3 linked regions of the Macaca fascicularis genome follow. The protein of the gene in region 1 interacts with the protein of each later gene in a pairwise test. Links are inferred from orthologs where the notes say so. Each region holds a gene or a part of one and is shown in the gene's direction. Other genes may lie near its edges. The genes, in order: PRKN, GPR37 and SNCA.

Region 1 (11,169 bases):
AAGATCTTGCTGGTCCTGGGGAAGTATCATGCCTTTTTTCTATAAGAATTGGGAAGCTCCAAAAGCTCTGAATAGTGATAGGAGCAGAACATTGTACTGGAAAGATTAGTGTAATTGTACCGATAATTGATTGAGGGAGTTAACCAATTGATGGGTGGATGATATTGTACAAACCTAGACAAAAGGTGATGAGGGCCCCCATTAGTTTATCGCCACTTGGTCCCTTCATCATTAGTACTTCTCTACCAGAGACATCTGTTTATTTGTATTGTAATTATTTTACTTGTCTCTCTCCTTTTCTTCACCAATAATGTAGCACATTTAGCACTGGAGTTAGACACTTCTAATTATCCCCCAATATCCCTTGGCTACAGTAATAAAACATTGCAAGTTTGAGCTGGACATAGAGCTACCAGTTAAAGACTACATGTCGCAGCCTCTCTTGCAACTAGCTGTGGCCATAAGACTAGGTTTTGGCAGGATTTGAGCAGGAGTGAGGATTGCTGTTTCTGGGACATGCCTTCATAATGAAGCTGTTTGCTCTTCAGTTCTTCTTGCCTCATTCTTGCAGATTGCTCCATACCCATTTTTCTCTCCCCTACCTGAAGTAGGTGTTGGAGACGATGCCCTTTTGGAACTACATAGCTTCCTTCATCCCTTTCCTGAGGAGAGAGGTATGTGGGCTTGGGTGTTACTTCATGGGTCAAGCTTTCACAGGATTTTGCAAAACGGGAAAATGTAGGTGTATTACTAGGTTCTGGCCAGTTGGATGACAATGAAAGTGGGGTGCTGTGTCCGGGTCATGCCTATAATGGGAAGCTCTCTGCTTCCACTTTCCTCCTTCTTGAGGGCAGGTATTTGACCCTAGTGGTCTCAAGCCCACCTTGTCTCAGGTGTCATTTTACAGGATACAAAGAACAAACATGTTCCTATGTCCCTGCACCCGCCTCACGGGGAAATACTGCCCAACCTCCTGGGATTACCTACAAACTTGAACTTCTATTATGAGAGAAACAACTTCCATTTTAATTAAGCTATTGTTATTTGGTCTCTGTTACAGCAGCCAAATTAATATCTTAATATAGAATGTATAAATATTGATGATTACCACTACATGTTAAATAAGAACATGATTGGACGCACTATACATGTAAAGTACAGGTTGAACTATCCCTTATCTGAAATGCTTCGGACCAGAAGTGTTTTGGATTGGTTTTTGTTTTTTGTTCAAATTTGGAATACAGTCGTCCCTCAGTCTCCATGAGGAATTACTTCCAGGACCTCCTGCAGATACCAAAATCTGCTGATGCTCAAGTCCCTGATATAACATGGCATAGTATTTGTATATAACCTACACATTTCCACCCGTATACTTTAAATCATGTCTATATTACTTATAGTATCTAAAACAACATAAACTCTATATAAATAGCTGCTATGCTCTATTGTTTAACAGGGAATAATGACTAAAAAAAAAAAAAGTCTGTACATGTTCAATACAGATAAAATTTTTGTCCTAAACATTTCAATCCAAGGTTAGTTGAATCCACGGAGGCAGAATCTGTACAAAGAGCTGAGTATATCTGTATTATACACTGGTGGTCATGCCAATTCTGAAAATCTGAAATCCAAAATGCTTGAAAGAGAGTTTTCTTTGAGTGTAATGTCAGCACTCAAAAAGTTTTGTATTTTGGACCATTTCAGGTTTCAGACTTTTGGAATAGGAATACTCAACCTTTAATATTAAAAAAATATGTATTTATTCCATTCCCCTAAACTTTGAGCATAAAGCATCTATAGTCTATTGAGAAGGAAAGCTGTAATAGAAAGCTTAGGCTAAACTCAACTTCCCTGTCACCATAAACCTGGGTCAATTTTCTAATTTGCTTCATGATAAGCATGTTCAGCACAGAAAGCATCTGACAAGATGAAGACAACAAAATGCTTGGTTAATAGTTTCTGGTCATAGGCTCTATCGCAACCCAAATAAAGCCTTTAAAAGGAAAATGAACTTTGAAATCTTCAAATTGTGTATCTCTTACATCTCTTTATAGGCAAGCACTATAAAAATGTGAATTTGAATATTATTTGATGGCAGGGCTTTTGTGATGCTTGTTTTCTTATAGAATGCAACAAAAATTTCATGGAAACAAAGTCTACTTTCTATTGAAGAACAATACTTGACATTGAGATTTTAAAAATTTTGCCATTTACATTTATCATTATTTTTCAATAATTTTGCGCTCTCATATCCAGACTGACTGTTTAAATAAGCATTTCTGCCTGCACAGCCCATTTGATGAAACATATTTATGATCAAGTTTATGTACTTGTATCACTATTGCACTCAAAGAAATATCAGGAGTCTCTGTGTAACTCCTTAGGATATATAAAATTCTTCATGTTTTAAGTGGAAGAGCATTGGAATGGTGACTTATCTAACTGGAAAAGTGGTTTGGAGGGTATTGGCCTTTGAGCATGAGGTCGCAATTAAGAAAAGCTGGAAATTGTCATACATATCCTGAATCGAAATACACCTTCAGAAAGAGATGAGGATATTTTGATCTTATAATGCTGAAAAGTCTATACTGCTAAAGATAAAAATGGTGAAATGTAAATATTGGTTATGAAATGGAAAATTTTTATTTCTTGTACCACTGAAGTTATTTTGTATAAACAGTATTGTCTAGCTTTCTTTTATCAAGATTTGAATGTTGTTATTTTGGTTTACCTTGGAGTACTAAGGGCAGGGACTTTGCTTTGCTGATCCCAAATCCCCAGAACTGTGCTTAACAAGTATTGGGTATTAAAAAAAGAGAGAGAGAGAGTTGTTGACTGAATAAGTAGATGAATGGATAAATAATCTTTGCATTTAAGAATTATGATTTCCAATGGCAAGAGAAGTATTGCTAGCACAAGATTTTCCTTTAGAATATAAAAAGATAAGATAATGTATCACAAATAAGTTCTTTATAAAGAAGCCTGCTTCATAATCAATGTGGTTCTTTTAAAGTCATGTAGGCATATTTACTACATCTGGCAATATAGAAACATTAGATTTTGCAGAACTATCTCTTTAGGCGTAGGATTATATTAAAGAATTAACATGATACAAGAATTATGAACACAAGTTTAGGAAATAACAGAAAAGAACCCTGACCAGTAAAAAAAAAAAATTGTGATATTCAATTATAACATTAAAAAACACCAAAATTGTAAATATTGTGTAGAAGAAAACTAAATTATTAACTTGAATGGTTATGGTATTGCTGATAAATGCATCATCTTGACTCCTAGGAGAACCAATTTATGTGAAATTCCATGAAAAAGAATTAGTTACAACAAGCAGAATTTTAGTCTATTTCCAAGAATTTTAACTACTGTAAATCACCTGACACACTTCTCAATAATTAGGATATCATTTTGCATAACCACATGGGAACCTGGCCTAGAGGTCTATAGGTAATCTGTTTCATTCATGTATTTTAAGTATGTCATTTAGGAATAAGTTATTAGGTTTACAACATATAAGCAAAGGAAATAATGTGACACTGGAAAACAACATTACTCATTTAACATAATGAATTGCCACATGTAATAACTCAGATCTTCCCAGGGTGTAAATTATATGAATTTGAAAGCTGCATTTATTATTTAATGCCTCATTCCCAGACAGGTGCTTACTCAGTAGCAAAATCTGCCTTAGCATACCAAGTGTAAAGCTATGTAACAAATAGGAAGGTTTAAAAAATAGATACTATCATGCAGACAGCTAAAATATTTGTATGTATTTTTAATCTTTTTTTCCTCTAATGATACTTAGAATATTTTATTTTTGTTACTACAAATAATGCAGATGAAATATGAATTGTATTAGTAGCAGAGACACATGAGCTAAAGCTTGTATTGTTTAAAGCACATCATCTTAAAAGGCCTGTCAGGAAACAGTGTTCATATTAAGTGGGCTTTCAGTACTCTAACAAGATGACATCATTTTCTAAGAGACAAGTGTTGTTAGAGTAACTGCTAGGATATTCCAAAATTTCTCATTATAGATTATTTAATGAGTTTATGTTCCCAGTTGTATATCAGCTCATGTTAAATTTTGCAAGAGTTTATGATTTCTAAGAGCTCATCTTCTGTAAGGCCCTTTGCTGAGTGGGGTTAGTTAGCAATCAGTAATTAAAGGGGATCTTTTTACCTCGTGTAAATAGCGTAAGAGTAATTTTGGGCGGTTTAGAAACGATGAGTTATCAGGAAGGTGCTTATCAATGGGCAGAGTATATCATTTGCCCAGGATTCTAACAACCTAGCCTGCCCCCCACACACTGTGGGGGACCGTCTGCTACTTGCCAAGTAATTGCCATTTTTGGCAAAGACCACCCAGGACATGGGCTCAGAGTCCATCCTAGGGCTGGCCAACCTCTGTAAATCTCGTGTCCCCTGATACGGAGCGAGTGCATTCAATTCAGGAAGATCACTTACGACTGAGTTTTTCATCATGGCTTTGACTGTGAAGCCCTCAGAAACCAGGGAGTGAGGCTGGTGCACCGGGAGCGGCTGTTGTGCCAGCAGCTTGGTCCTCTTCGGCATCTTGTCTGGGCATTTGTTTAAGCTCAGGGTCTCTTTTTCTGCCACCATCTTCCTAGAAAATGTCTTGTTCTCATAAAAAGTGTAGTAAAAGAATCAGTGGGTTTTACGGATGTGAGCAGGAGGTCGGGAAAAAAATGTCAAAAGGCGCGTTAATGGTAGAAATTCAACCCCTCGTAGTGCCCAGGTTGATCCAGATGTTTGGCAGCTCCTAGGTGAAGGGAGTTTAGGGGAGGGGTGGGGCGGGAAGAGGGCAGGACCGTAGCTAGAGCTGCAACAAGCTTCCAAAGGTAAGCCTCCCGGTTGCTAAGCGACTGGTCAACACTGCGGGCGCATAGCTCCGCCCCTCGGTGACGTACGATTGCTGGGCCTGAAGCCGGAAAGGGAGGCGGCGGTGAGCTGGAGGGCAGGAGGCGTGAGGAGAAACTACGCATTAAAACTACGACTCCCAGCAGGCCCTGGGCCGCGTACCCTCCGCGCGTGCGCATTCCTAGGGCCCGGCGCCGGGGCGGGGAGCCCTGGAAGATTTAACCCAGGAGAGCCGCTGGTGGGAGGCGCTGGCTGGCGCCGGTGCGCGCGTAGGCCCTTTCCTGGCCCGCAGCCGCCACCTGCCCAGTGACCATGATAGGTACGTGGGTACCTGCCAGGTACAGCCTCATCTGCGCCGCCCTGCGCCCCGGTGTGGCCTCGGCCGACCTGGACCCCAGGTGCCAACTGTCAGTGACGGGGCCAAAGTGCCCATGCCGTACCCGGCCCGCACCGCCGGGCTCTCCAGCTCAGCGACGCGGGCCCGGGGCCCCAGTGTGTGCGTTCCAAGCCCTCGCCCGCCCGCCCCTGCTCTGAGCGTTCCCGTGAAGACCGCCTCACCGGGGACGCCAGGCGGCCCCGCACCCCCGGTCCTCGCTCATGGTCCCCCGGACCGTGTAGGGTCCCGAAGCCTTCGCCCCGCCGCCGCCCCTCGCCCTCGAGGCCCTGGCCAGTTGTCGTGCGGTTCAGGACCCATCGAGACCCACTCTTTGTGGGGCTCTTTCAGGAAACCCCAGCAAAGCATTAAACTCTAATGGAAGGCACCTGGTGAGGGTGGCTGGGCGCCACAGAAACTCCTCCAGATGAATCTAAACTTCTTGCTCCCTCGGATGTTTCCTTTTAAACTTCTCGTTGGAGGGCTGAGGTGAAAGAAAAATTGAGAGTAAATAATAGCCAAGATTACATCTACTGCCTTTTGCAATATAACTTTTTTTTTTTTTTTTTTTTTTGGTAAAACACAATGACCGAGGTGCAATTTTGTGAACAAAACTTAGTGGCATCAGAGTTGTTCATGAACACTTGATGTGTAAGATGAGCAAAGGTGCAAAGGTCCTCTTCCAGGGTTGTTGAACCAAAAACTACTTTAGGGGCTGTCCCTAAAAATGAATGGAAATGCACCATATGTTTAGAAGCCAGTGCTATATGGGGTTTCATTATTGTGGAAGTTTCTCCAGGTTATGTATGGAGGGTTTAGTGAGCTTGTTTAGGGCTAATTCCTGAGGAGCGTCCCTTACAAAACACTTTTGATTGCAGTAAGTACGTTCGAAGTCAGATGTGGTCTGTCCAGAAGTAAGGTGAGAGGTGGATTCATAAAATATATGATCTTTATGCACTGAAAACACGTACTACATCTGTTTTTATTTATGAAGTTATTGTTAAAATGTAAACATTCTGCCCATCAGTGGGAGAATCAAGCCAGCTAACTGGCATTGTCTTTGTCTCTGTGGTAAAACAAGAATGTTGTTCAGCCTTCCCTTTCTAGCATGGTCTGACTTTTGGTGAATGACTTGAAAGTTAACCAAATTATGAAAAAGTTATAATTTTTTGAGTTTTCTTGAGCTCTTTTTAGGTGACATTTACGTAAGATTCACTTGTAAGCACAAGTCTGAACTGAATCAGAAAACCAAGTAGAAGAGATTTTCCAAAATCCGTGCTATCAGTAGTCTACAGGAAGAAAATAGCCTATACCTTATTTTGAAGACAGTTAAATACATTTTATTTTAATTTAACTTAATCTAGTGCACAGATAATTTTAAGAGAAACAAATTTATTGTAAAGCTATATGAAGACAGGCACTTAAGATCTGGGATTGGAGGCGTAAGCCACCACGCCCAGCCTCATTAGCCACATTTCAGTAAACATCTGAATGGCCAGTTTGAGATTTGGGTGTGGTGAACAGTGCTAAAGGTAGGTGAAAGTGAAAACCATTAAAAGGAAGCCTTGGAGTGATGGATTTTGTGTTTTTGTGACAAAAATTCAGAGCGAGGAAAGACATTATAGATTTTATCCAGTGATCAGTTGGAGATCAAAATGTAAATAGTATGTATCTGGGATTTTCTGTTAAAGGTAAGAGTGCTTCTCAAAGCTTGCTCCTTTCAGGCCTATGCTTTCTCTGTTACACTCACCTTGTTGCGGGATTCAGGAGGACGAGAGAGACCTCGGGTTGAAACAGGAGAATCTTGATCGAGTGCACTCAGGCCCAGCTGACTCACATGCAATAGACTGGGCCCAGAATAAAGACAGTACTTGACTTTTATACACACTTCACAAAAGGAGGTGGGCTAGCTTGAAGCAAACTTACGGTGGTGGCAAAGCAGGGATACAGAGGCAGGACAAAGGCAGGACTGCACATGGCCATCGCCAAGCAACCCAGATGTTCGTTATCTAGGTTTCCCTGGGCACAGGCTTATCCTATAACCTTCACTATGGTGCCCAGGCAGCTGTAGTTCAGGCCTACTCAGGCTTCTCATGACCTTCGTTGTGCTTCTTAGATAAAACAGAATACTTGAAATCACTAGTTACAGAGAACAAGAGTCTATAAACTGATTCCATAAAACAAAGGAAAATTTGTTTTTCTTCTCCCTGTGTTGAGGGAGTGCTGGGAGAGTCTCCAGAGCACATTCGATAATATTAGCAAGACTCTTCCTGGATCTGGGCTGTGCTGTTGCTGCCTCTGGGACAAGTTAGCCTAAAACAGGAAAACTTATTTCTTTTTCTTTTTAATTTTATTTTTCTTTAATTTCCCGCCCCAACCTTAATGCAAATAATATTCTGCCAGTTGGAGAAACGTAAAGATGGGTTTCCTGGTAGAAGAGGAGTAAACAAGACTGACTGCGACCTAACTGCTAGTGGAATGTGCCTTCCTTTTACTTTCTCAAAACCAAAGATTCCCTTCTTGGGATGAGGACTGTTTCATAAGTCCTTACATTTCCCACCTGGATTGCGATTGATATGTTGAATGCCCTGACCTGGGCAGCTATGGAAACGTAATTTAATTGAAGTCGGTTAAAAATTGTGCCTTTGTGGAAGGTGTGGAGAAGGACTTCAAGATAATATAAAGCAGAATAGAAAAGCTTAAAAGAATTCAACGTAGAAAAGTGTAATTTTTGGTATCTCTATTAAAAATATATTTTGACTTTGTAAAAAATGATCAGTTTTTTGTATTTAAAATGGAATGTTAGTGGTGATAATTTGTGGTATGTTCTAAATGTTCTGTAGAACTGGATTTAGGTATTTGAGTAACAGCAGATATTAGAGTGCTTGGTTATATATACACCAATGTTGTCAGTATTGAAATACACATTCAGTGTCTTATACTTTTAAGAAGATTTTTGATTGACAAAAACCATTCATTGGAACATAGTCTCTTCTATACCTTGTTTCACTTAGCATCTCTTTGAGAATTTACATATCTGCATGTACAGATTCACTCCACAGCAGTTCCTGCCTAGTGTTTTATAGGATACACTAATGAAAATATTTACCAACAAATAAGCACTCATCAGGTTTACAGACGACTGTTATCAGAAATGTTTGTGGACATATCTTTTTACTTGCACATGTAAGCATATATGTAAAAGAGAAATCGTATGACAATTTGAGTTAAAGAGTTTGCAGATTTAAAATATTCCTAGGTATTTCAAAATTTTTCTAAAATAAGTTGCCCTATTTTACAAAGCTATCTAAAGCCTCCACGAATACAACATGGTAGTAAAGAGCTGCCCTGCCCCTCTGGCCTGAAAATTACCAAAAGACGTCCTTCCCGAGACTGACTCAGCTTTCACTAGCAGAACACCTCCTAGATCTCCAGTCCCCACCTCTCTCTCACCCTAGGTGTAGTGCCTTTCAGTGTACAAGCTGCACAACTGTCCTTGGTGGCCCTGCCCTCCCTTTCAGTGTGTATAAGGGTGCCCATTTCCTCCCATGTGCCATCAAAGATTTTTTATTTTTGCCCTCTTGACAGATGAAAAACAGCATCTTTTAACTTTGCAAATTAATTTAGAAGAAAACTTCCCATTTTCATCTTATAATGCGTTAGTTTCACAAAAGCAGATGCGGTGATTTCAGCACCTGCTGTGTACCCTTAACTGCTCTAGGTGCCAGGGAAACGAGGGAACAGAGCAGAAAAAGTCCCTTGCCATCAGGAATGTGCATTCTGACTTCACCATTTGCCCATATATCTGCATGTTTGTTTTCAAGCGTGTGTGCAGTGAATTTTAAAGTCTCAATTTATATTTCTAGTTGAATATTCTGTGTACTACTCTTTGCCCTGCCATTTTAATAAGTTGATGAAAAGCAGCTCTATGCCTAAGTACCCCAAAGCTTCTGTTTATGATGAGGTAAAATTGTGTCAAAAATAGGCTCTAATAAAGTTTTGCATAGAAGATTTTATGTAATTATATAATAGTTTTTCCTTGAGTCGGTCCAAAAGCTCTAAAATGACCCTTTGTCCTTTACAGTTTTGGCCCTATTTCTGAGGATATTTTTGAAGTCTGCATTTTTTGAAACCTCATAGTTTCATTGCCTGAAAATGATACAATGAAAGTACTTTGTATTAAGATATGTAAATCCATTCCTACCTCCAAAGCTTTTTTGAAAGATGCAGGAAAAAAAAAAGAGTTCTTACTTCGAAATGCTTCATATTCCTGAGAGCAGTTTTAATGCAAAAAACTTTATTCTGTTAGCTTTTAGTTCTTTGATCAATGAAAATTGCTTCTTACCTACTGTTTCTTCAGCCTTTAATTGTAGCCCAGTGCTTATTCAATGTTTCTGTTTTCATTTGCATTTAATGAGCTCATTTTAAATGTTTCTTTGTAGTAATCTGAATGGTTTCTCTCCCTAAATTTTGTAACATTAAAGAAAGAGACTCATGTGACAGTTGGCTGATTTATGTTACAGCTTCCCTCCCTGGCTGATTTACTTCATCCTGTAGGATAGAATCTTGGTTCAAAGGAAATACAGTAGCAGGATTCTTTCCCCCAGTAATTTCCTAATTACCTAGGACTCTAACAGATTCACTCAAATGTCTGTTTTTCACCAAATAGAAACCTTTTTTCCTTGGATGAATAGGTATTTAAATTTATGATTATTCAGTGTCATTTCTTTATACCATATGTATTAGGTGGTGCTGGGTAGGGGTGGGTACACACAGGTTGTATATATCTATATATTGCCTATGGGGAAGGCACATACAAATGACCATTTCTTCCCAATGAGTTTATGGCCTAGTTGGGCTGATTAGGCTTACATTAGTGGTATAGATTCCACCTTCACCACTGCAGCAGAAGAGTAATTAGAAAGATGTATGTATGTATCAGCACACACATATGTGCCTGCAACATGTGATTTTTTATGTTTCTTTTGCTCATGTGATTCTCTTCGAATGCCCTTTCTTTCTGTTGTATGTCTGAAAACTACTGTTCATTATTTAAGATCCAATTCCAATGGCACCAACTTCATATGAAATTTTATGTGTCACCTTCTCACCCTCTTTTCAGTGTGGGGCAATTAACACCTCCTTTACAGTCAGCCAAGATATTAGCAACTACCCTTCATCAGGTTCTTGTTCATAGTCTAGAAGGGGTACAGAAAAGTAAAGATTTACAAACCTGAAAGGTGGGTATCATGATACAGGTTTATACAAGGGAGAACTGGAAAGCTCAGCCTATTGAGCGTAGAAGATCCAATTATTTCCCAGTGGAGCCATTCCAGTTGTCCTGCAGGACAAGTAGGAGTTAACTAGGTGAAGGAGGCCTTCTAGACAGGCATGGAGGGGAGAGAAGAGAATGGAATGAAAGGTATCTGGTGAGGCTGGCAGGCACACCAGATAAGCTTTGTCAAGGAGGTGGGTTTAAAGTTGGTGATAGGGAGGAGTCACTGAACCATTATCTATGGAAGAGCATTATGAACAGGGTGTCTTTTAGAAAGATGTCCATGGCAGTAATAGAAAATTATGAAATAGAATGCTGTAGAAAATAGTTACACTAGTGTCAATAAGTCTAGATAAAGTGTTAATAGCTTTTATTAATAGAGGGTAGTCTTTCACTGAGAATGATGGGGTAATCGTGTGGTAGGAGATAGCTTTTCTCAGGGTGGTGACATTGATTTGATACGTCATTATATCATCTCGGATTAAGGGCCATACTTCTTTTTAAAAAGTTCTTATTTTTGTAGAATAAATTAATGTCTCTCATTGACAGGTGTTTTATGTCATGTTATTAAAGCTTTAAGTGTATTTGTATTCCAAAAATAGTGTGTATCTCCTTCTTTGAT
Region 2 (9,030 bases), on another chromosome or scaffold:
TCATTATTCGTATGATTTTTATCAATTAATTTCTGAGATGTGCAGTTAATTCTTTACACATGTTTAAAGCCTCCTATAAATAATTCGGAAAAGTACAGACGGGGCCTGTGTACATTTCTTGCTCTTTCACACCCTAAAATATAGTACATAAGTGAATTTACAGAAAAAAGATCTGAAATGATATCACTGCAGGAAGTGGCAGCAGACGAGAGTAGATGTCTAGGACTGGCATTTGGGCTGCAGTTGCTCTTGGCAACTGCGTCCCAAGTGCTGGCTACATTCGGAGCAGGGCTACTTTCTTCATTGGCACCTTCAGCAACTTTCACTGTTGCTCTTGTGACCTTTCTGGACTGTTGACCCTGTTGCAGCTGGATCCTAACTGCAGAGAGTACCATCAGAGAAAAGTTCAATTTGAAAACAGGAGCCTGGATATAGGAGCTTTTTGAAATTTGTATATGAAATCTGGGGATGATTCCTTAATTCATGATTTATGAAAAAGACTACAAATCATGTATGTTTGAGCTTTTGACTTGGTACTAACGCTTTTGGGAATATGAAGAATTGAGCATCCTCAGATAAAACAAGTGTAGAATTCCTGACGATAAGTTGGAACACATGTAAATCTTGCTTAACATTTGTCCTGGCTTTTGTTATCTTATGAGATTGAAGGTAAAGGACCTGGAAAAACATTGTTTTGCTTTCTTAGGCAGTTAACGTCTTCTAATTAAGAGCGGATGTGCAGCACAGCTTCTGATACCTAAGGAGTTGGTAATCTAACACACCCATCTTAATACATGTCCACCCACACACATTTGCCATTACCTTTCATTAAAGACTGTAACTTCCTGGAGTTAGGTATGCAGTTACTAGCATTTGTGATAATTGATCCATATTTTTTCAATCTGTAGATTTAAAACTAGGGAGATTAATAGAGAAGATGCTATCTTTTGTGCATTCTGTGTTCTTAGCAAGTAATGATAGAAAACCACCAAGCAAACAGATGTTCTGAGCCCCTAACAGATTGCCTCTCCTCAGAGTCTCCAGTATTTTTATGTTAGTGAACTTTCCTTTTAATAGAAATCCTATTCATGATTTCAGAAGGATGCATAGCATAAACTTTGGTAGCTTTGTTTATGTGGACTCACTTGGGCTATAAAGTGACGGGGAAGCATGCACACAGATTTGCCTTAGTGAAGATGGCACGAAAGACTTGACGAGGGTTTCTGATAGTTGAAGAAGTTTTGTTTGTTTTGTTTTGTTTTTAACAGACCTAAGAGAAATGAATCAAAACATTTGAAAAACTGGTATACAAATGTCGTTTCAAAAATCTATAAATTAATGTACTGTAATTTCTACGTGATACTGTTTGATACAGAAGTTTAGAAAGTGGCCAGCCATTCTTAGATGTCTTCAAGTGTGGCAATTGCTGACATTTTATTTTATTTTATTTTATTTTTAATTTATTATTATTATTTTTTTTTGAGACGGAGTCTCGCTCTGTAGCCCAGGCTGGAGTGCAGTGGCCGGATCTCAGCTCACTGCAAGCTCCGCCTCCCGGGTTCACGCCATTCTCCGGCCTCAGCCTCCCGAGTAGCTGGGACTACAGGCGCCCGCCACCTCGCCCGGCTAGTTTTTTGTATTTCTTAGTAGAGACGGGGTTTCACCGTGTTATCCAGGATGGTCTCGATCTCCTGACCTAGTGATCCGCCCGTCTCGGCCTCCCAAAGTGCTGGGATTACAGGCTTGAGCCACCGCGCCCGGCAATTGCTGACATTTTAAAACATAATCATAAGACAGTTGTACAATGTGGACTTCAATTTTAGAATTATTCTGTGCCTCCAGCATAGATGCAAAACAAATTTTCATCAATGTGAACAATTTTTAGTTTGAAAGTTAATTATTAAAAGGTGAAAGTGGAGTTTTTTTTTTTTTTTTTCAGTTGAAGTCATATTAGGTTGATGTTAACCTTAAAAGTTTGGAGAATAAGAATTGTGGTGATAAGTCCAGTCATGCCTCTTTATCTGCACTGATCTAGAGCTTTGCTAGCCACATTTTTTTCATTTTTGCTTTTAATATAGTTAACATCTCATTATACCTCATTTTCAGACTGTCTCCACTAATAGTTATGAGAGTAGTCAGGGCGTACATACAATGTCCTTATTTTCCGTATTAGAACTAGTAGACACCGTCTGATATGTAGCGTACAAGGAGAAAATATTTGACATTGGAACTGTCGAAATCCACAAGGCAACTTGCCATAGCTCTGGGGAGAGTGACAGCTTGAATGTAGTAGATAAACAACTAATGTTTTGAGTACTAAAACTGTATGACAAATGGTTCCCCTTTTGTCAACATCATCCCTTTGACTTTTAAAAAATTAGATGTTAACATTATACTTACATTTCCCCTGCCCCTTTGCCAGGGAATGGCCTATATCATGCTGCTTAAACCTTCCTACCAACAGGCAGGGGAGAGCAAATGCATATATTCGAGTTGTCTGGGGTGTAGACCAAAGCATTCCATCCACCCAGGGAGTTTTCTTTTAGTCTCATATTTTATCTGAAACCTTATTGACATTTTACCTTTTACTCCTTGTTCTTGTTTGAATGCATAGATAATGACTACACTTATTATATATTAAATTACTTCAATTTTCCCCCAAATATTGAAGTGGCTTTAATATTGCCAGGTGATTGCTGTGTTCATGTTGTAACTTTGAGAACCATCGTCCCCATCTTGGTTGACTATGATGTGCTTGAGGGAAGTCACTGCTTCTTGTAGCTTTCTATTTTCTCGACACCAAGCATAGTGCTCGGCATGGAGTTGATATCAATAAATGGATGCTTGTGTTGGATATGTATCTGTTTGCCCCATTTGAGTACATGTACAATGCTTAATACATGTTTTATAAGTAAATGAAATGATAGCATGCTTACATTAAGAACATGTGTTTATATTCCTGGAAAGCCTCCATGTGAAAAAAAATAGGTACATATTTTTGGTTCTTAACCTTTAAATGTTGACTTTTTTAGATGTCTGGACCATATGCTTACAAGAACAGTGCCTTTTTGAAGACAGTTTTTCATTTGGTTATTGTCAAAGAGTTTTCTGCTCCAAAATTTTCCTGTGTTTGAGATATCTAGACATTCTTTTTGGCTACTTTCTGCATATTTTCCTGTATTTTTACAGGTTCTATTTTCTTTGATTTTCTGAAGTATCTCCTATTTCTTTAAATTTGATATACATACCTATTTTATGATAAATATATTTTTTATGTCTGATTCTGTATCTCTGGCATATAAATTCATAGTGGCTAATTGTCTCTTGCATATTGTGACTTTTGATTTTGTGAACCTGTGTCCCTTGAATTTTAACTATAGGATTTTTTGAGGTCTGGTTTTAAAGTACATTCTTCCAGAGAGGATTTGTTTGATTTTTACCAGGTGCCTGGGATTATTTTAAATTGTATTTTGGGTTTTCTGAGCCACATAGATCCTGGAAATTCTGATCCTAACACCATGTAAGTTCAGGCTCCTGGTTAGAATTTGCCATTTTTTGCCTCCTTTCCCCCCAGTTCATCCAGACCCAAATCCTGTCATATAGGCAGATTTCTTCATTATCTCCTTACACCTCTTAAGATGTCAGCATTTGAGGAGTTCCAAATTCACAGGGAGTCTTTGACCCAATCCCCACCCACATTGGCCCCAGCTCTGTTTCCTGCCCCTGTGTACCTGGGCATCTTGCCCCATTTTTCTAGCTAAAACTAACTTGAAGCCCTCACCAGGACGGGCAGGTGCCCCTAAGGTAAACAGGCAGCATGAACAGGGAGGAGTCTCTGGCCTGTTTGAAATTTGTTTCCTTTTTGATTTTGGCCTCTGGCGAATTTCCCTTTCTTGTTTTCTGTAAGTGTATGCCTTTGAAGATAATACTGTCATACTTTATTTTGCATTTAGGAAAAATTGGAGGAGCCCTCTCATCATTTAGTCCATCGGAGACAATAAACTCTTTGGTATTTGCTGTGTGTAAGGCACACTACTGACCCTCACACTGGAAAACATGAGAATCCTGGTCAGCAATGAAAATGGGAATTTCTGCACTACCCTGACTCCTTATCTAGCTCTCCTAGTGGCAGACACTTTCGTGGTGAATAAGATTTTTAGTGTATCTGGGTTCTTATCTATAATAAAAAGGGATTGGACTAGCTGATCTTTATGGATCCTTCCAGTCCTAAATGTTTTGCACTCTATGACCCTCAACCCACTACAGTTTGTTTTCTATTTTTATGCTTACAATGATTCAGCTGATGTCCTGAGCCCAGTTACCCATGCCTCATTCTGGAAAACTGTTCTCTCTCTCTTATTTTTATTTATTTATCTTTTTTTTTTTTTTTTTTTTTTTTTTTTTTTTTTTTACGGTTTTGCCAGTCTGCATTTATTCCCTAGTGCTTTGATCTTTCAGGGGACACTGGGAATAAATGTCTTCTCTGTTCCCCCACAGGTCGCTTCTCTGGGAGTCACCACTTTCACCTTATGTGCTCTGTGCATAGACCGTTTCCGTGCTGCCACCAACGTACAGATGTACTATGAAATGATCGAAAACTGTTCCTCAACAACTGCCAAACTGGCTGTCATATGGGTGGGAGCTCTACTGTTAGCACTTCCAGAAGTTGTTCTCCGCCAGCTGAGCAAGGAGGATTTGGGGTTTAGTGGCCGAGCTCCAGCAGAAAGGTGCATTATTAAGATCTCTCCTGATTTACCGGACACCATCTATGTTCTAGCCCTCACCTACGACAGTGCGAGACTCTGGTGGTATTTTGGCTGTTACTTTTGTTTGCCCACACTTTTCACCATCACCTGCTCTCTAGTGACTGCGAGGAAAATCCGCAAAGCAGAGAAAGCCTGTACCCGAGGGAATAAGCGGCAGATTCAACTAGAGAGCCAGATGAACTGTACGGTAGTGGCACTGACCATTTTATATGGATTTTGCATTATTCCTGAAAATATCTGCAACATTGTTACTGCCTACATGGCTACAGGGGTTTCGCAGCAGACAATGGACCTCCTAAATATCATCAGCCAGTTCCTTTTGTTCTTTAAGTCCTGTGTCACCCCAGTCCTCCTTTTCTGTCTCTGCAAACCCTTCAGTCGGGCCTTCATGGAGTGCTGCTGCTGTTGCTGTGAGGAATGCATTCAGAAGTCTTCAACGGTGACCAGTGATGACAATGACAACGAGTACACCACAGAACTCGAACTCTCGCCTTTCAGTACCATACGCCGTGAAATGTCCACTTTTGCTTCTGTCGGAACTCATTGCTGAAGGACGGTACTTGGTTGGGTCAGATTTATTTGTTTGATTTTCATATCCCGTGAAAGTTTTTAATTCATATTTTTCCTTACAGGGAAAAATGCAAAAAAGAAACAATAAAGAAAGAAATATTAACTACTGTAGAACTGATTTTGCAAATTAATATTTGTGCTTTGAAAAAAAGTTTCTATTTAGTTATTTAAGAAGAATGAGAAGGCCAATAGTTTTAGATCATTTTATCTGGTATGGTGCTAATATTTTATTTGAAAAAAGTTACTGCAACTTAACTTAAAATTGCTAACGTTTTTTCTTCTTTTAAAAATACAATTATTGTATATTGATTATAGCCATGTGATTTTGTAGGTTATTTTATATTTGAGTTGTGATTGAAAGTATGTTGTATAAGGTATTGTGAGATGATTTGTACTTGGAAACATTCACAAAGTAGCACCAAATAAATTACACTTTATTCTTTAATGTCATTGTCAATCTACTTTTAACCAATATTCAATAAATCTTCTAATTGCCTTAAAGATACAATTACTGGTTCCATGCACAATTTAAAACTGGCCTTACTGTTTTATAACCTATTTTCTTTTAAGGCAGGTAATCATTATGTCATAAAGAAGTTTTTCTAATAGCAGTATTTTATATGCATGATTCATAAAACTATGTTGTATGTTAAAACAAAGCTGTATTTTTAATATTCAGGTATAGATGTCAAGTTACTTCTGAATACTTATAAAATATGAATAAATAGCAGAGTAGGAAGAAAGTTTATTTTTTAAAAAATTTGCCTTTGAACTAGCACATAGAGCTACAGGTTTTCCCTTGAGGAATTCTGGGCAGAATCAAGAGTTTTAAAATGCAGTTGTCATCTGATTGCCTCTGAACACTGACCTTTGAAGCTTTGTGAATCCTACGTATAGCACTCTGAATTCTAATTTTTCTCCTTTTGAAAAATAAACTTGATGAAATCTATACAACTTAATTTCTTTAAGTGCAATGAAAGTATAGGAGTGGAATAATAAAATATATATTTTTATTAGAACATTCAAATACTACCTTTAACTTGATACTTCATAAACTCTGAATAAAAACCTAACCTCCTCCAATGGGAATATTTGAATCCCCTCTTTTGCCTCTTCGGGAGTTTGAAGTGCAACAATTGTGTAGGATGCTTGCTGTGTGGGAACATGTCTAACTCAGATGGCAGAGGCCATGACCTAGTGACACAGTCATATTTAAAAGCTACCAGAGAAGAGATGTGTAGTTGAATGCTTTTGTCTTCAGAAAAATCTTATTTTAGGGGAAGCCAGTTTTCTTGCTGGGAAAACGTATTTTCTGCTTGTTGATTTCTGTTCTACTCAGCACAAGTAAGTCAGTATTCCTTTTTCCAAATTATAACGTGATGTTATTTAAAAATCATTAAAGAGATTGGTGCAGGTGAAACTCGAGTTAACTAAATGGGAATGTTCAGGCTATCTCCTTTTTCCCCGTCCAATACTTTTCAAAGGGATTTCCCCCTCCATTGTGTGTATCCTGTGGGATCTGCAGGAGAATTAAAACAAGGCACCCTTGTCTTCTTATAGATCCCTGTAATACATCTTTGGAAAATTTCTCAAGAGGACATCTGAGTTAGGTTTTGGTTGCTGAGCAGGTCAGCAGTTGTGATTCCATAGTCTCTCTCTTGTCAGTCACTTTTATAAATCAAGGAACAATAGAGCATGTCATGTAGAAAAGATTCCATCCTATTACCTGAGTAACGAAAGGTAAGTAGGTCACAGCCTCAGACCTTACAAAATCAGGTAGGGATGACATGGATGGGAAGGAATAAAATAAAAACATAGACAACTATGATATAAGCTGGGGCTTGTTAGGTGCCTCAGGAAGGTGTGAAGTTCTGTGATAGTTCGGAGCAGAGGGAACACTTGTCGGATTAAAAGAGAGCGTGAAAGGCTTTATGAGATAAGTGGATGGGTGAGCTTTTAGAAGGAGCTGATTGATGAAAGATTGTGTGAGGAGTAGACACCTCAGGAGGAGAAAGGTAACTTATGAAGGAATAGAGGAAGAAATCACTGGGAGTGATTGAAGAATAAACAGCCCAGTTTGACTTCTGTGCTACGCGTGCATAGAAACCTTGCGGAAAATATTAATGAAAATATGCACTAAGGCCTCTAGTAAAAGGGCCATGTTTTGAAAGATGTTTAGATGTTGGTGCTTCGGGAAATGGGGCTTTGCTTTTAAGGTTTTTGAGTATGGAGAAATAGTATCGCAACTCTGCATAGGAAGATTAACTTGCAAACAGTTTAAATAGGCTGGTAGGGGACAGTCTGAACATGAAAAAGCAACTAGGAAGCTATTATAAGAGATTGAACCACAATGGAGGCAGCGGGAACTTAAATTTCTTTTTTCATTTATACTTACCTTTCAACTTTTTGTAGTTGCAACATGTACTTTCTTATTGAATCCTACCTCTGTCAAAGTGGAAACTTTAATAACTCAAAACAAATTGTCCCAAGTATAAAGTGATTTCAAAGTTTTCTCATAGTCTTGCGTTTTTCACAAAAACCAATTTCTATAACATACTTTAAAAAAATTGTTAATCATTTCTGTTCAACATTTCTCCAGTCTAGATCCTAATCCAGTGTCTTCCGCTCCTCATTAAACAACAACAACAACAAAAAGAAACTCACAGCTAAGATTAAGTTCAGTAAAATTTTGATTAATCAGAAAATGCTAGGAATGGTATTTTGGTTACTTAACAGGAACACTTTTGTGGTTTCAGGGTAGTCAATGAAAATATTTTCAAAATCTGTGTCTATATCTATAACTGGATATTATAATTAACTCAATTTAACATTTATTTGATTCGCAATTTTGAAGCCTTTGAATGTATGACTTCAAGCAGTAAGAAAGATGGAGTGATGGTGAGAAGATAAAGGTGAAGTGGTGCTCAGAGGGATTAGTGGTTGAGAGGGAAGAAGGTAGGAAGAAGAGCTTCACAGAGGAAGGATCAAATCCTTATTGTTCCAGTTTATAGATGTAAGTAATTTACTGAAATCTAAGAAAATGCTGATACGTATTTTAAAAACTATATCCCTATGTCTTTTTTTTCCTCATCAGTTCCTTATTTCTCATAAAAGTAAAATTAGAATAAAAGATCCATTTCTTCAAGAATTATGGTGAGATAGATTTTAGTGTGTTATATAAAGTAGCAAGTGATACTGAGTGCAGGGCATTTTAAGTAACAGCTCTTTCATTATATCTCAGCTAATTTATTCAACAATTATTGAATGAACACTATTATATGTTAAGCACCATTGTAGGTGCATGTGATATAGCTGTGAACTAATCACCAAGAAGCTTTGCCCTCTCTTGTTGAGACAGATAGACACTATAAATAAGGAGAATGCATAGTATATAGTTTTTAGAATACATAGTATTTTTGGTAGTGGAAATTACCACAGAGGAAAGGAGTAACAGGGTAAGGTGAGGTTATGAAGAAGACCTTATTGCTAATATGACATTCAATTAAGACTTGAAAAGAGCAATCAAGTCTTGTAGCAACTGGGGGAAAAAGCAGGTTCTGAGGTAGGAATATGTCTGATAGGTTTCAGGAATGTAAAGCAGCTACTGAAGCTGGGAAAGAAGGAAGAGGAAGAGAAGTAGCGGATGAGATCAGAGAGCTAAAGGGAGGCCATGTAAACTATTGTAATGACTGCT
Region 3 (10,373 bases), on another chromosome or scaffold:
ATGAGGATGAGAGTGCCAGAAATAGAAAAATCAAAAGGGAACCAAAATTTACAAATTAAAAGCCCATAGACTTGCTGTAATTAAGTTTCCTGTTGTAAGTACTCCACATTTCCTGGCAGGTGTGGTGAAACAAAAGATATAATCAGAAATATAATTTATATGAAAATTAAATTATAGCATTAAACACAATAGTGCCTATAAAAACAAAATGTTCCTATCAATGACTTCTAAAATGGAAAGGAGAAAAATGATATGGGAATCTTAATACAGTGCTGTGGTTAGGACTAAAAACACAGGAGTCAGTTCTTCTTGGTTCAACTTGTTACTTACTCTTTACCAGCTGTGTGGTTTTTTTTGCAAGAGTCTTCACCTCTGTATGATTTAGCTTCCTCGTCTATAAAATAATTCATTGAATTAGTGTACACAAAGCATCTGGAAAACAAAAAGCAAACAATATATATATTTATAAGTGTTACTTCTTGCTTTACAGTGAACTTTCTTGTGCAACATTTTTACAACTAGCGTAGAAAAATATTTTTTAAATGAATACTTTTGATTTAAAAATGGGAGTGTAAAAATAAAGCAGACTCCTTTGAAACTAGTTCTGTTAGAAGTTAATTATGCACCTTTAATGGGCTCTGTTGCAATCCAACAGAGAACTAGATAAGTAAATGGACTATGTTGCCTTCTAGGGACCTCCTATAAATATGATATTGTGAAGCATTATTATAATAATAACTAGATAGCAGACAGGTGGAGACTCTACTATCTGAAGAGGGTCAGTCTAGATGAATGGTGTTCCATTTAGTAGTTGAGGAAGAACCCATGAGGTTTAGAAAGCAGAAGGCCATGTACCAAGTTTTGGAGTCAGTGGTAAAAATTTTAAAAACCCAACTACTACTGTCACCTAATGATCTAATGGAGACTGGAGATGGACTGCATTTTTTCAGTCTTCTCCAGAATGCCAAAATGTAAACACATCTCTCTCTCTCTCTCTCTCTCTCTCTCTCTCTTTCTCTCTCTCTCTCTCTCTCTCTCTCTCTCTCTCTCTCTGTGTGTATGAGAGAGAGAGAGAGACTGAAGTTTGTACAATTAAACAACATTTTATAAAATGTTTTCTAAAGGACAGTGGCCCACAATCCTAAGTTTCCAACATTGTACAATGTTGGGAGATTCTGCATATTTTATTTTCTCTTTGGTATATTAAGGAATCTGAGATGTCCTACAGTAAAGAAATTTGCATTACATAGTTAAAATCAAGGTTATTCAAACTTTTTGATTATTGAAACCTTTCTCCATTAGTTATTAGGGTTGAATGAAACTAGTGTTCTACAGAAAACTATGGGAAATGTTGCTAAGCAGTAACGACATGGTGATTTCAGCATGGGCAATATTTACAACCATTACACCCATGAACCACCCTGGCAGTAGTGAAGTACCAAAAATGCTGTCATAACTAGTATGGCTATGAGAAACACATTGGGATAAATCAGCTGCTATCATAATCATTCCTCTCCCACATCAGATAAATGAATTAATTTTTTGAATAGGGTTATTTAATATAAAGTTCTTAAGTCTAATTATGAGAAGAAATAAGACAATTACTTCAGTGGTTAAAGAGAGAATAATTTGCATATTTTACCTGATGTAAAATGTTTGCTATGGGTACATATTAAGTGCTAACTAATTGTTAATTGTTCTTGTTACAAGTCTTAATGCAGGGAAACAAGAAACTATTACATAGTACCTAATATTAACTTCTAATATTAAATAAACAATTTCCCCCAAATTCATCCCATTAGATTTCTTTTCAAGGGGGCGGGGGAGAAATATAGACTTCAGTAAACTTGGGCTGGGAGCTTTCTACCTACAAAGTTCAAGGAAAACAAATTATCCTAGTTAGATAATATCAATGAAAAATCCACCAACTTAAATCCTAGCTCTTTGATCTCGGGAAATTATTTCAGTTATCAACTTAATGCATCATATATGAAAATGTATTTAATTAAACTTACTGAATGATATGTTTTTAAGGTACTTTAAAAATAAACTATGATATAAAGTTACTTATTTTTCATGCAAGTGTAGTATAAAGAAATTTCTGACACTGGAGATTTTCTGAAGGTTTTGATTCTTGTAAATTTATTACATCATAATGAACAAAACTAATTTTCAACATGTTATGATCTAAATTTCCTTAGTAAATTGTTTTAAATTTATTTTCTTTAAATCTATCATTTGTATAACAATTCAAAACTAGATATTCTTAATTTTATAATTTTGTTTAATGTCAAAGATTAGATTTTGCTATATCTATTCTAAAAGTTGGTATCACATTTCCTTTTTGGATTTTTATTTTTAACTTAGTTAAAGTCAAATATAAACCTATTACTTATATTAATGCAGATATTAGAGAGAGATACTAAATTCATTTTAGTATATTCTAAATTATTTATCTACTATAAAATAATATAAAGAAAAATAAAGTAGAATCCCTGATTTCAAAAAACTCAGTTGCTGAAAAACAAATACCATTTGCTAGACTCAAAATGTACTAATATGAGTATGTCTCTTTTCCTTTTGTTTTGTCACTGTTCGTTTGGAATGTCAGTGAGTAGAGAAATAGTGTGGAAGGCCCTCGGGGGAAAAATAGAGGTTCAAGGTCAGCAGAGACCCTACTAGAGAAACCAGTTCTACAGAAATGTTTTTAAATGTGTCGATGATTGCTACCTGTATACTCTGTTATTTTGTCATGTAACCATTTTATTTATTATTATAATAATAAAAGAGTGAAATTATAATAATGTGCAGAGTACATTTTACTGTGCAGTGTATTGCATTAAAACTAGATTAAAATTTATACATCTATAAAAGGTTATCTAGATATTATAAAATTTATGGCTGGATCTGTAAAAAATTCAAAACCTATTTTTAATCTTGCTTCAAGATTTTATAACAAGAAAATGTTCATTTGAAGCAAAATTTTCAATTCTCGTCCTTGAAAACGAAAAAAATGACAACTTGAAACACATAATTGACTATTTTTAAAGGATCAACATTTCAGAAATGTTTTAAAACATAAAATTTTCAGTACAGCTTTTCACTGGCATTTAAATCGAACTTTGAATTGTAAATAGCTCTTACTCTTAAGGAGACATCAGCCATATCCTTAGAAATGGCACGGAGTTGGTAGGTAGTTGTACAAAATTCTAGCCTAAAAGACAAGTAGGGAGCAACAATACTGTGGACCCTTTCTGGTCTTGGGCTGTGTGGCTATGTCAGGCTTCCCCACATTGCCTGAACTAAGGAGAAAGCCTCTTGTCCTTACAGGCCCCTTAGCTTCTGTGACTTACATAGTCTATTTGAAAATGAATTGCTTTGTCCACACCATTTAACTATTGGCTTCTTCAACTGGTGAGATGAAACCTATACAATAATCATGTGACTAGCACGAAAGAGCTGACATGGTGTAACTCCTCTCAGACTGAGGCTTATCTGGGGAGTACAAATCATATCAAGAAAATGTGCCTTCATTTCCTTAGATGAGTGTCCCCATCCTCCACTCTCCTCCACTGTTCTCCTCTCTGCTTCTATGATACCAACTTTTTTTTTTTTTCTTTAGATTCCACATGAGTGAGATTATGTTGTGTTTGCCTTTCTGTTTCTGGCTTATTTCACTGAACAAGAAAATTTTTGACATGAAATTAAATTTCTGCCTATAAACTCAATTCAAACTGTTTACACTGTCTTCTCAAAAATGTTAACTTATTGTAATAAACCTACTGAATGACCGTATCACATTTTGTTTTGTGAAAACGAATTTTAAGGGTGCTCAATAGCCTCTTCATTTTCATACTGTCCAGCTCCTTTGCTCCTATTAAAATTACTGCAAGTTAGCTTTTAAGAACCCTATGTTTCACTACCTGAAGTTCTATAAAAAGATCCAAGTTCCTTCAAAACCATTTCTTATGCTGTCATTCATACATATGTGATAATACCGTGTCTGAACACACAGATAAGAAGTATGGGCTGGGTGCGGTGGGTCATGCCTGTAGTCCCAGCACTTTGGGAGGCCGAGGCAGGTGAACCACCTGAGGTTAGGAGTTCGAGACCAGCCTGGCCAACATGGTGAAACCCTGTTTCTACTAAAAATACAAAAAAAATTAGCCAGGCATGGTTATGGGCACCTGTAATCCCAGCTACTCAGGAGACTGCGGCAGGAGAATAGCTTGAACTCAGGAGGTGGGGATTGCAGTGAGCTGAGATTGTGCCATTGCACTCCAGCCTGGGCAACAAGAGTGAAACTCTATCTCAAATGAATGAATGAATGAATGAATGAATGAATGAATGAATGAATGAATAAATAAATAAATACAAGTATGTATTGTGTTGTTTAGAATGTGTGGTGGAAATGAACTTGCTGAGTGAGCTCAAAGGATTGGCACTGAATTGAAATAAAGAAATACTCATGTTGAGTCTGGTTCAACTATAACTGCACCTGTAAGAATTGCTTTCCTTAGTATAAAACAAATCCAAATCACTCATGGCTTTACATTCTGGATCATTAAACTTGAAGCACTTTTTAATACTGCATGACTTTAACAAAAATATCTTAGCCGAGATTCAATGTTTGGTTGAGCCACGCTCACTTGGACACCTTGGTTGCTTGTTTCTTCTGACCCCTCAGTTGTCTATGGCATGTGTAGATACAGGTGTATGGAAGTCGATGGCTAGTGGAAGTGGAATGATTTTAAGTCACTGTTATTCCACCACCCTTTAATCTGTTGTTGCTCTTGATTTGTACCAGTGGCTGAGAAGACCAAAGAGCAAGTGACAAATGTTGGAGGAGCGGTGGTGACGGGTGTGACAGCAGTAGCCCAGAAGACAGTGGAGGGAGCAGGGAACATTGCAGCAGCCACTGGCTTCATCAAAAAGGACCAGTTGGGCAAGGTACGGTGTGTACATTTTGTGCTACATTTATAAGCTGGTGAGATTATGGTTCATTTTCATGTGAGGCCTGGAGGCAGGAGCAGGACACTTACTGTGAGGAACAGCTACCTGACCCTCCCCTTGTGAAAATGTGCTACCTTTATATTGGTCTTGCTTGTTTCAGGCATTAACCCAGATAAATGCCATGCAAATTTTATAATTATCATGATTGTTTCAATTTCTAGAAGAAAGTTAATGAAATAAAAAATGTAGCAAAATGTCAAAGGAACAGTGACATTTCAAAAAGAATGAGGACTTTCATGTTAACTATAAGTCTTGGAATTTCTCTTCCTTGGAATAACAAATCTCTTTGTGCCTAATTTCTTAATTTCCAAAATAAAATTCTTTTACTTGATTTCTTTATAGTGACATCATCTCTTATTAAATGGCATATTTGCATATTACATAACAGTTCATTGCCAAATACATGTTTGTGAGAACTAAGAGGTTTAAAATATATACCAACCAGAGATCATAGTTTTGAGGTAGATTTTAAAATTCTGAGAAGAATTTTGACTGAATTTTTTTGACAAACATGGGGCACAAATAAGATTATACCAAAGATACTATAACTTTCATTTTAAATATGAAACTAATACGGTATGAGGTGTCAACAATGATGAAATTTTACAAATGTCACCACTACAACAGCAAAATGATTTTTGCTTTTTCCCTGTCTCCTTGCTATTTCTTGAATAAATCAAGCATACCCTTGCCCTGACACATTACTGGGGAGGCCTGCCTTAATCTATATAAAATTGGAGCCATTCTTCTCACCTCTGGTATTCTCAGTCTCCCTACTCTTTCTTTCTCCTTCCTTCCTACCTTCCTTCCTTCCTTCCTTCTTCCTTCCTTTTTCTTTCTTTCTTTTTTCCTTCCTTCCTTCCTTCTTCCTTCTCTCTTTTCCTTCCTTCCTTTCTTTCTCTTTCTTTCTTTCTTTCTTCCTTCCTTCCTTCCTTCCTTCCTTCCTTCCTTCCTTCCTTCCTTCCTTTCTTTCTTTCTTTCTTTCTTTCTTTCTTTCTTTCTTTCTCTTTCTTCCTTCCTTCCTTCCTTCCTTCCTCTTTCTCTTTCCCTTCCTTCCTTCTTTCCTTCCTTCCTTCCTTCCTTCCTTTGTTTTTCTTTCTTTCTTTGCCAAAGTGTTCTTCACCTTTAAATATAATAAATAATTTGCTTACTTTAATGTATTTTTTAAATTTTATTTCTCCCTTCTATTATGTAGGCACCATGAGAGTGAAATATATTTATTTTGTTCACTGATATTTCACAAGTGTCTGGGAGAGTTTCCAACTTAGAGTAGACAATTAGCATATGTTTATTAAGAAGGGAAGAAAGGAAGGAAATAAGTGAGTAAGCAGAACAACTTTTATTCATGGGTCTTTTATAATCATATCCTTAGTATAAGAACAGTGCTATTCAGTTATCCAAAAGTTAAAATCAAAATGATTTTGGATGAATCTCTTCAAAATTGTGAGAAAGAAGTTTTATTTGCTGGCAAACTATTCTGGGTTGTTTCCACTTCATGTAATACTAAGTAGCAGCCTTACCTTGATAGCCCATTAAAACACTGATAATAAAAAGGCAGAACAAAAATATCTGTGATATATTTAGATTTACTACATGAAGTTACATGTCTAGTGTCTGGTGCAATGGATGTAATTATGGCAAATCCTGACTGGGCTTCTAGTGAAGTTCTTCAGCTAATGCTTGAATGCATGGTTGGTCATGGTGATACCCTTTTGTACAAAATATGCTTTTCAAATAATCTTATTAGGGATAATAATTATATTAATTCCTGGTTTCCACCTAAAATTATAATTCTATTTATAGCTCTGTAAGATTTCACAAGTTAAGAGGGACCTCAGATTAAAATAGTACACAGGCAATTAACCAGTTTTGTGTCTCAGACCCTTTTCACAATCTAATAGAAGCTATGGACCCTCTTAGCTTCAGAAAAATGTGTCCTCACATACACACATCAAAGGGCTTAATGGGAAGTCCACTGACAGACCCTCTGTTCAGATCAATCTTCTGATTGTACAGATGAGGAAACTGAAATCAACAGAGGAAGTGGGTAGTCCAAGATTGTACAGTCATTTGGAATAGACTGGACACCAATAGTACTTTTCCAGCCACTATATCACTTCCCCAAGCATTTCCTCAAAACTTACCTTCCTTTGGGTCTTTATACATTCAGTTATGGACAACTAGATTTAACTAGAGAATTTTATTGCTTCAGAATATTAAGCAACAGGGAAACATGTACCATCCTTTCTTTATTCACCTGCATTTAACGCATACAATATAAATTGCAAATGAAGCATGAAAGTGCTTAATCTTTTACAAAACTGGGTTTGCTTTCCACCCATCTAAAAATACTGCTATTTATTTTAATATTTAAAGCAGAAATCTAAATGATGTGACAAAATTAATCATTTGGAGATATTTCCCTTATAGGTACTAGAGTATCTTATTGATTTCTAATATGAAAATGAAGTCATAAAACCTAGAAATTGCAGCATAGTTGTGGAAATAAACATTGGACTGAGAGTGAAAATGGCTAGTCTTCATCTCTGCTCATACACCACCTGACTGGATAACCTTTTGCAGATCTCCTAAAAGTCTTTCTCATATAATGAGGAAGCTCTACTAGAAAATTGTTGAAGTCTAATTTAGCAATAAAGTTCTGAGTTTCTAAAATAATTCAGAGAGTACTCTAATAAACGTCTGCAATTGTGGCCACATCTATGGGATGCTAAAAAGTCTGGATAGTTTCAATGAAAGTATTTAATTTGTTCATTATGATATTTGAAATAATTTATTTCATTTTTTAAACTCTGATCAAAATGACCCTGGCAACTAGAAATAAGCAAAATCTTTTTGCTTGAAATGCTTATTAATGACCACATTGAGACACTCATTCATCATTCAAGAAAGAATGTTTACTCACACTGTGCCAGAAACTTGGAGGAAGAGGGATGTGACAATTAGGGATACCAGATGTCTAGCTTGTAGAAGTGGATTAATGGCCGTACTTTAAGATCAGGAACACTGAAAGGGAGTAATGGCACCGGTTTTAACCTTTCATGCCCTTTGAGGGTATTTGGCCCATCACCCTCTAGTTGATGAGGGGGAAATTTTCCTCTCCCTTCACAAATATGGGGAAATTAAATTACGTAATTCTGAACAACCAATAAATCAAGAGTAAATCAAAGAAGATACCTGTTTTGTGAATTTGATCATATGAATATAGCTGCCCTTATTAATAATTTCTGAGTATAAGACTAGTTAAAGGACAAATGAGTTATCTTGAATTATAAGAATTTGTTTTACAGAACAATATTAACTCTTGTGTTTAGAATTAGAATTAGAATAGAATTAGAATTAGAATAATAGATCTTTTGATCTATATTTTACTCATGTACACATAAGAAGTTATCAGTCATATAATTCATTTCTTGAAGTTCATACCTTTTATTGGCAGAGTAAAAACAGGTTAAAAGTGCACTGGCAGAAATTTTAAGTGCAAAGCAACAGTGATGTTATATAGAGAAAATTTATATTTCCTACTTCTATTGAGGAAGAAACATCTGCTTGTTCTAAGAATATTGTACAAAGAAAGTGACTTGGATCAGCATTATTCTGTGGTGCTACTACGTGTGCAGTGTGGAGCTGGCCACCAGAACACTTGGTCTATCCCAGCTCCTCAACAGTGTCTTGCATGTGGCTGGTGCTCAAATAAATCCTTGCTGAACTAATGAGCATTTCTTTCATGCCACATGGAATGCTCTAAAAGAGTTGGGTCCTGAAGTTTTTATATTTTTATAATTTTCTGGAGTTTTAGAGAGCAAAAGGCCTAAATAAACTGTGAAGCCACTGCCTGACAAATAATACAGCAGTCAGCTTCATTATCGTATCCCATTTAGACACTGACTTATCTACATGATGATTAGTAGTTTTCATGCAAGAAATAAGCTTGAAATATCTGTTGCCTCAGGTACTGAAAACATCCAGGTTCAGCAATGTTATTTATTGTTGTTCAAAATCAGAATGAAGTTCCTAAACAATGCCATTTTGAGCCGGGCGCGGTGGCTCACGCCTGTAATCCCAGCACTTTGGGAGGCCGAGGCGGGCGGATCACAAGGTCAGGAGATCGAGACCACGGTGAAACCCCGTCTCTACTAAAAATACAAAAAATTAGCCGGGCGCGGTTGTGGGCGCCTGTAGTCCCAGCTACTCGGGAGGCTGAGGCAGGAGAATGGCGTGAAACCGGGAGGCGGAGCTTGCAGTGAGCCGAGATCGCGCCACTGCACTCCAGCCTGGGCGACAGAGCGAGACTCCGTCTCAAAAAAAAAAAAAAAAAAAAAAAAAAAAAAAAAATGCCATTTTGGAAAAATTGGATCAATAGATTATAAACAGTTTTTTAAAAATCTGGATTCAAATGGATTAACGTGTGTATATTCTGTAATAATCCTGACTTAATTCATAAAAGGATAGCTAGCCAGTTGTGTGGTAGATGAATAAAACAAAAGCAGGATTTAAAATGCCAGATTTGACATCATGAACTATAATATCTAAGCATTCTTTTACTCACTTCCTTTGAACTTACTACAGCTGTCATGTTGGACTTCATGCAAATTTATTTTTAAATGCTTGAGTGTTATGGACCCTCTGATTAAATGATTAATCAGATGATGTATGCTGCCATCAGCTGAATCATTTAATGCTGATTTCACAAACAAGCACAGGTCACAGGCAACCTTTCAGATTTCTTTGAAGAAGCACACACAGGTCATAGGCACAATCTTAAAATAATTTTATAACAAGGTAGTAATAAAAGATGTCAGGACTGGAGAAATATTTTAATTTATAGTACACTTTCCCCTTAAGTGTCTAATAATGATTAATATAATACATTGCCTCAAATAATTAGGAGTTTGATTCTTGTCCTTGTGCTTGACTTCAGAAGATAACCAGATGACTGTTAGATATATTTAGACCTAAATTAAAAGCTTTGAGGCACAGTGAATTGCTTGATTTGTATTTGTGTTTGGAGTGGCATATACTATTACTGGCACTATAATCTTAGATTAAAGCATAGTGTGATTATTAAAGAAAAATTTTAGATTTATTTGTTTCTAAAGATATGTAACAGTAACATTTTGCAATGTGGTATGTAAAAGTTGTTATCTTTTTACTCATATGAGAGTCCACTAATGGTACATAAACTGTCCTCACTTAGAAACACAATTACTATGGACTTTCTTTGTATCTGACAAAATTTCACTGGGTTCAAGATGGATGAATAACGAATTATAATGACCCTTAATGCTGTAAGGTTCTAGGTGGGAAAGTAGTCTGTAATTATGTATAAATTTATAAGGAAA

The links.
Region 2: the proteins of PRKN (region 1) and GPR37 interact in a two-hybrid assay, tested with the Homo sapiens proteins (2 studies listed by BioGRID). The link is inferred for Macaca fascicularis from reciprocal best matches to the Homo sapiens genes PRKN and GPR37.
Region 3: the proteins of PRKN (region 1) and SNCA interact in binary tests that used the Homo sapiens proteins (3 or more experiments, as listed by UniProt). The link is inferred for Macaca fascicularis from reciprocal best matches to the Homo sapiens genes PRKN and SNCA.

What each region holds. Positions count from the first base shown.
Region 1 is NC_088378.1:8,399,429-8,410,597, forward strand, and holds the start of PRKN (E3 ubiquitin-protein ligase parkin), read left to right. Parts: upstream 1-5,092; 5' UTR 5,093-5,211; coding exon 5,212-5,218; intron 5,219-11,169. Other genes in the region: PACRG (parkin coregulated gene protein), read right to left, coding at 4,486-4,641. UniProt on the Homo sapiens protein: Functions within a multiprotein E3 ubiquitin ligase complex, catalyzing the covalent attachment of ubiquitin moieties onto substrate proteins. Substrates include SYT11 and VDAC1.
Region 2 is NC_088377.1:166,329,755-166,338,784, reverse strand, and holds the end of GPR37 (prosaposin receptor GPR37), read left to right. Parts: intron 1-4,497; coding exon 4,498-5,316; 3' UTR 5,317-6,285; downstream 6,286-9,030.
Region 3 is NC_088379.1:95,359,901-95,370,273, reverse strand, and holds part of SNCA (alpha-synuclein), read left to right. Parts: intron 1-4,807; coding exon 4,808-4,950; intron 4,951-10,373. UniProt on the Homo sapiens protein: Neuronal protein that plays several roles in synaptic activity such as regulation of synaptic vesicle trafficking and subsequent neurotransmitter release.